Danio rerio: one gene and its partner. Each later gene encodes a partner of the first gene's protein in a complex. Links are inferred from orthologs where the notes say so. Each region holds a gene or a part of one and is shown on either strand. Other genes may lie near its edges.

Evidence for each region. Proteins that work in one complex are often made in the same cells at the same time.
Region 2: dnaaf10 (region 1) and asdurf share a complex: the UniProt entries of both Homo sapiens proteins name them as parts of the PAQosome complex. The link is inferred for Danio rerio from reciprocal best matches to the Homo sapiens genes DNAAF10 and ASDURF.

Annotation. Positions count from the first base shown.
Region 1 is NC_133188.1:1,036,426-1,040,184, reverse strand, and holds the start of dnaaf10 (dynein axonemal assembly factor 10), read right to left. Parts: upstream 2,238-3,759; 5' UTR 2,216-2,237; coding exon 2,030-2,215; intron 1-2,029. UniProt on the Homo sapiens protein: Key assembly factor specifically required for the stability of axonemal dynein heavy chains in cytoplasm.
Region 2 is NC_133184.1:42,816,615-42,820,373, reverse strand, and holds asdurf (ASNSD1 upstream open reading frame protein), read left to right. Parts: upstream 1-1,213; 5' UTR 1,214-1,288; coding exon 1,289-1,366; intron 1,367-1,488; coding exon 1,489-1,542; intron 1,543-2,967; coding exon 2,968-3,043; intron 3,044-3,165; coding exon 3,166-3,206; 3' UTR 3,207-3,218; downstream 3,219-3,759. Other genes in the region: asnsd1 (asparagine synthetase domain-containing protein 1), read left to right, coding at 3,219-3,759.

The sequences.
Region 1 (3,759 bases):
GACCGGATCTGTAAAGGCAGACCCTTCCATAGTCGGGGGGCTGCAGCAATAAAACCCTTTCACCTCTTGATTTCAACCGCGTTTTGGGGACAACTAGCTGAAACGTGTTTTCGGACCTGATTGGCCTCAATGAAGTGTGCCAGTGAAGAAGCTCAGAAATGTAAGTCGGTGCCAGACCATTCAAACTTTTAAAAACTAGAAGCAATAATTTATATTGAATTCTAAATTGGACTGGGAGCCAGTGAAGAGACAATAAAACTGGTGAGATACTAGAGGATTTTTTTGTCCCAGTTAAAAGCCTAGCAGCTGCATTTTGAACCAGCTGCAGGCGTGCTATTGATGCCTGTGAAACTCCAGAATACAAAGAGTTACAGTAGTCCAGTCTTGACATAATAAAAACATTAATGACAGTTTCCAGCTCTTTAAAAGAAAGAAAAGGCTTCAATTTGGCAATGTTCCCTAATTGATAGAAACCACTTTTGACAACTGAGTTTATTTGCTTGTCAAACTTTAACTCAGTGTCAAAAGTAACTCCAAGATTTTTTACGTGACTGTGGACCTTAGGCTTGATCGAACCTAATTTATTAATTGTAGATTCACAGACACTCGGAGGACCAAACACTAGTACTTCAGTTTTTGATTCATTCAAGTGTAAGAATTCTTCTTCCATTTCTTCCACCGGATATGAATGGCAGCCCATATAGGCGTATGCGGGAAAGTTGTATAATTTGGCACAATGATAGAGGACAGTCTTAACATTAATCAGACCAAATGTGAAGTCTCAAAATCAAACTCTCTAGCGCCACCACTTGTCCAAACTTTCACGTATGTTTATCATAATAACTTTTGAACCGAATGGGCTACAATCAAAATTCCGCTGACTCCTTGGCTCAGTCCGATTCAAACGCACCCTATGACATCATTTTCCGTCATGAATTTTTTCGCGCTATTTTAAATTTTTCGAAAAACCTATTTGATCGAACTCGTCCTAGGCCGTTTCTGCGATTTTCACCAAAATTGAATCACATGATCTACAGACCATGCCAACCAAGAGTTATGGAATTGAAGTTGATTAGACCAACTGTTTTCGCTTAACTTGCGATCAAATTTAACGTAGAACTTGCGAAAATGGACTTGAGACGATATCTCTGTAACGCATTCACCGATTCACACCAAACTTGGTGTGTGTTATGACAACTAGGGTCCGAGGTTATATGCTGAGTTTTGGCACATTGCCCCCTAGTGGTCCGGAGATACAAAAAACTTGATTTTTGGCTTATAACGTCTCAACCTTTCGTCCGAAACTGATAAAACTTGTCTCATTACATCCGGCAGAGCATGTCGAGTCGAATGATGTCTGATTTTCACAGGTCAGCCATTTTGGGCGTCGCCCATTTCGATTTTTGGCCAAAAACACTATATTTTACCAACATATTCACATATCATTACAAAACATGGTATTCATCTTCAACCCCATGCCCTAAAAGTACTCAAAAATTAAATATATATATATATATATATATATATATTATATATATATATATATATATATATATATATATATATATATATATATATATATATATATATAAAATTAAATATAATTTTAAAAAAGTGTTTCCGCAGACTGTTTTTATTAAGTCTGATTACATCAAACACAATTAATTCATCTTTACCATTAGAGGCTGGAGATATTCACAAACTGCTGACACACAACTGGGGTTAAACCCCTTATAAAAGGGATTTTTGCATAATAGATCATGAATAAATCTCTATTTTTAACTGATCCCTGACTAGTCTTATAGTCATGATTCACATGTGTATTGTGGATGAATATGAACTATGACGGTGAAGTAAACGTTAATAAACGCGTTGTAAACAGAGACTGAGGCAGTTGAGTTTTGTCGCCATGGCAACCGCGCCTCAGGACTTTTCTAGAAAGCGCCGAACTGGCTTAGCTAATAAACAGCAAAGCTTTTCAGCAGTTTGATTTGTGCTTCAGTGAATATATACTATGAAGAGACCTGACCTCTCTGACCAGCTGCAGCTCCCCGTGCTGGATCTCGTAGATCTGCATCACTCCGGTTCCTCTCGCGAAGTTTCCCATACAAACAAACTTGGCGCTGCACGGAATCCATTTGCTCTCGAACACCGTGTAGTTCAAGCTCTTCTGGATGTGCGCGATGATCTGCGGCTTCTCGAGAGCTGCTGACATGATCTGTGCTCAATATGAAACTAAAATCTATCAGTTTGAGCAGAAGGAAAGAGATGTCAGTTGCGCTGTTTGCTTCTTCTTTGTTTCAATGGCTGTTGACAACCCTCTTAAAAGCTATACTTCCGCCACCTGGTGGATTGGTGTGGGTTTTTGCTAAAAGGGATACAGCTGCGGTCGAGAATTATTTATATTATTTAACTACACATCTATTGTATTTTATTAACATCAACCCCAACCCTAAACCCAATTCTGACAGTATTATTTATTAAATAACCTATTAATTGTATGTTATTACCATATTTCCATCTACCCCTACCTCAACAATAAACCCAAACCTCACAGTAATGCAAAAACAGCAATTAAACAGAGTATTAGTCATATTATTTCATAAATTAACCATTAATTTTATTGTATTAACGTCTATCTCTACCCCAAACCTAAACCCAACCATAACAGTAATGTAAAAACAGGTATACACAGTATTAGTCATATTATTTATTTAATTACCCATTCATTGTAATTTATCAATGTCTACCCCCACCCCAGTAATGGAAAAAGTAATAATACAAAGTATTATTCATATTTTTTATAACATTACCTATTAAATTGAATTTTTATTAACATTTACCCCTTTTATCACAGTAATGTGAAAATATTAATTATTGTTGTAGTGTTACACAAATTATGTCATATTGATGTACCTGCAACTGCATCCCTTCTAGACTTCACTGTTTTTTTTACTGGATACTAGTAATATATAACAGAATAAAATGTATTTTACACACACACACACACACATATATATATATAATCTTTATAGTTCATTCTCCTTAAATTCCATTTATTATACCTATTGCATTTCACTGATTTATAATCGCAAAATACACTTCATATTGTTCTGGGGCATTTCTTAACATATTCTTAATTGTTATATTCTCAATTTTCAATAGACTGAACTTTGTTGCTCTTATACCGAGTGCTTTTGTTATTGTTTTTTAATTCACCCCAATTTATTGCTTAACATATTCTTAAATTAAAGGGACTAAGCCAACAAGAAAATGAATGAATGAATATTCTTAAATTCTCATTTGTTTTAAACTTAATTCTCCATAAGTTTCACTCATTTAGTATTCATAATTTCTAATAATATGTTTCTCTATCTGCACTGCTCCACATTTATTAACATTTCCTGATTCACGTTTTACAATAATGAATGTCTGGTAGGTGCTGTCTGTGTTTATCTATCTATCTATCATGTTTGTCTGTCTATCCATCCATCCGTCCGTCTATATCTGTCTGTCTATCCGTCCATCCTATCTATCTATCTATCTATCTATCTATCTATCTATCTATCTATCTATCTATCTATCTATCTATCTATCTATCTATCTATCTATCTATCTATCTATCTATCTGTCTGTCTGTCTGTCTGTCTGTCTGTCTGTCTGTCTGTCTGTCTGTCTGTCTGTCTGTCTGTCTGTCTGTCTGTCCGTCCAATAGTATATTTATAGGCTACACGTGAGCTCTCCGGTGTTTTCCTACAG
Region 2 (3,759 bases), on another chromosome or scaffold:
TCTCTTCGCTTCACTTTAGAGCATTATTCCTATGTACAAAATTTAGGAGGGATACAGTGGCTCATTGGTTAGCACTGTTGCCTCACAGCAAGAAGGTCGCTGGTTCGAGTCTTGACTGGGTCAGTTGGCATTTTTGTGTGAAGTTTGCATGTTCTCCCATGTTGGTGTGGGTTTCCTTCTGGTGCTCCGGTTTCCCCCACAGTCCAAAGTCATGAAGTATAGGTGAAATAAATAAACTAAAATGTCTGTAGTGTATAAGTGTGAATGAGCGTGTATGGATGTTTCCCAGTACTGGGTTACAGCTGGAAGGGCACACGCTGTGTAAAACATATGCTGGATAGGTTAGTAGTTCATTCCGCTGTGGCGACCCCTGATGAATAAAGGAACTAAACTGAAAAGAAAATGAATGAATGAATGTCAAACTTGTTTTCTAAGGACCAGTGCAATTTGTTTTTACTTGCCCCATTACAATTCAAACACTTATTTATAAACAAAATAAGTTTATTTTAAGAAAGATAATTGAACCAAATTGGTAAAGAGTTTTAGAATATACAATTTAGTTAATTGTTTTTTTAGAATAATTGTTATTTGTACCGATTAAATAGCTTTACATGGACAAAAAAATTAACACCTGTTTAAAATTATTTAAGACCTGTAACACCCTTTTAAGTAAAGTTTTAAAAGGCCTAAAATGTTGTTTTTGAAATGTAAGACTTTTAAAGTCCCTGCGGACACCCTGAACAATTTTTCCATTAAGATGAGCATTATTTGTTCATCTTGAAAGTTAAATGCAAACAATCCTCTTTAGGATAGCTCTCAAATTACTGAGGATAAACCAAAATATTTGGATAAGATAATGTACGCCTAGAGCTATGATAGGCTTTGTTTATTACCATCTTATCGTACATTAGAAGAATGGCAAAATATGATATAAGATAATATGATAATATCAGGTTTAGATAGATGGGCTAGCCGCTGTTTCGCGATGAAAAGTCGTTAATATCCGGGTAAAAACTCTATTTGAAAGCATTCGACGTATTTGAACCGTATTTGACCACATTACTTAGATTCCCTGTTTCATTCAACAACGCGTCTTTGTTTAGATGCTGCAGATTTATCCACCCAACATTATTCTTTAACAGGCTTTGTTTATGGGGGATAATGGGGTTAGGATTACGTGACGCACTTTTAAAGCGTCGTTGGCGCATACGTCATTCTTGTGCGACGAACGAGTTACTTGCTCGTGGAGATGTTTCCCTAAAAATGATCTGAAGCGTATTAATAAACAATGTCCTCCAAGAACATACAGCGAACTGAGCCTGGGGCCTCAGAAGAGCGCGCACAAAAAGAGGAGCTGAACCAAAAGGTTGTCTATCATATATGTTTTTTGTAATTTATAGTATACAGTTGACACCAGTAAAACGCGTTAAGCATGTTTAGTAATTTCTGTTTTTTGATGATCCTAAAAACATAACTATTCATTCGCAGATAAAAGAGCAAAAGATTGTTGTGGACGAGTTAAGTAACTTGAAGAAAAACAGGGTATGTAACGTCATATCGTCTTGTCACTTTCTATATATTATCAAGAGTCATTCTGCATTTGGTGTAGCAGATGCTTTCACTTAATTATAGATGTAACAAAGTCAAACCACATCGCTATAGAAGGCAATATATACTAAAATGTTTTCTAGTGTAGCATACAATATAATATATGAACTTATGCTCCACTATACTAATTCGCAATAGATTATAAGTAGACTGTCAGGTGGGGTTGGTGTAAATTGACATGTACTTGCAAAGTTTCTTAGTCAGTGAAATGTTGAAAGCAGCAGTATCAGCAGATATTAAGCAGACAGTCTACTAATACCCAAATGAGAAGTAACTGGCATTTAGTTGCAGTACAACTTTAGTCAGAAAAATGTGCAACAGGGACCATCAAAATAAAGTCTTACCATGATATTAATTACATTCACATTTAAAAATATCAACTAAGAAGTTCCTTCGATGTTTAGAGATATTTTTCCAGTTAAATTTATGAAAGATAAAACGTAATTGTGAAACAGTTTATTTGACATCAATTAAAAGCAAAGTAGAATTTAAGCTTGACAAAATTATCAACTTATAAAGTACCTTAAATGTATCATCTGTTGCCATTTTCTAACCCATGGGGATTCAAATTGGATAATTCCTTTGAACTATTGAATTTATTATTTTAAGATAATTTACCTCAAAGTCAGTGTTCTTCTTATGGCAGACTTGTAAATGAAGCAAATAGGACTGAGTTTCATTTCTGGCCCATTTTTGTGGAGATTTTCTAGAGTACTTCTATAGCCAGTCCATGTGTATAGTGAAGTATCTTATAGTTATGCGTAGGTTTTTAAAATAGCTCTTATGTGCAGAGTTGTGTTTGTATTTATGATTAATTTATGTAGCACCGTTGTCCTGGGAGACTGCACATTTAGTTTCTCTGTATGTTCACACTAGGCATGGGCCGGTATAAATTTCTGACGGTATGATAACCTTGTATAAAAATACCACGGTATCACAGTATTGTGAAAGTGATTACTGCTCTCTCTTTTTTAAAATGTATGGGTAAAATAGAACAAACATTTATAATTTCCCCACTGAACACAAATTATTTATTTTAAGGAACATAATATTTTGGAACAGTAAACATGTCAGGCTAAATAGTTAAAATAAATCTTTGACTTCTGCTCTATTCGTTAGTTTGAAAAACGTAGATTTCTATACAACACATAAAAATATATAAAAAAACTTTTACATATAACTTGGGAACGGTATAACAGAACAATTTACTGGGATTAAAACCTTGAATTTTCCAAACCGCGGTAAACCTTGAAACCGGTTACCGTCCCATGCCGAGATCACACATGTAGTGGAATGACAATAAAGCTCAACTTGACTTGATATCATCACATTCCAGTAATACTAAGATTATATTCACAGAGAGTGTACACCCAGCAACCCAACAGCAATATATTCTTTCTGGCAGACAAAGGAGAAACCCTTAGCTCTTGTAAACGTAAGTGTTTCTGTTATACTTGAGTTGTTTCTGCTTTTTTGATAGATGATACATAAATACAATACTAATGCCACCATTTTGAGTGTGTTCTTCTAACATTGTCATAATATTCTGTTATACAGAGGACCTGGATAACATGCGGAAAGAATATCAAGATATATAGTGAAGTGATATCATGTGTGGGATCTGCTGTGTGGTCAGTTTGACCACACCACATGATCCACTGGAGGAGAATGTGCTTCAAAATCTCAAACACAGAGGACCCAATTGTAGCAAAGACATTACAAAAGAAATCTCAAACTGCAGTGTCCTATTCTCTGCACATGTACTTCATATGAGGGGTTGCCTGACCCCTCAACCTCTTCAAGATGACACTGGGAATATGCTTCTCTGGAATGGAGAGGTGTTTGGTGGTCTGAAATTAGAGCAGGAAGAAAATGACACCAAAGTTCTTCTTCATCAACTGTCAATGGCCACCAGTGCCTCAGATATTGTATGTTTGTTATCACAACTCGAAGGACCGTGGGCCTTTATCTATTACCAAAAGTCTGAGCGCTGCATCTGGTTCGGGAGGGACTTTTTCGGGAGAAGAAGTCTGCTTTGGAAATTCAATCCTGAAAGAGCTTTTTTCACACTCGTATCAGTTGCTTCCCAGCCAGCAGATGATAGTCAATCCCAATGGCAGGAGGTACCACCTGGTGGAGTTTACAGGTTTG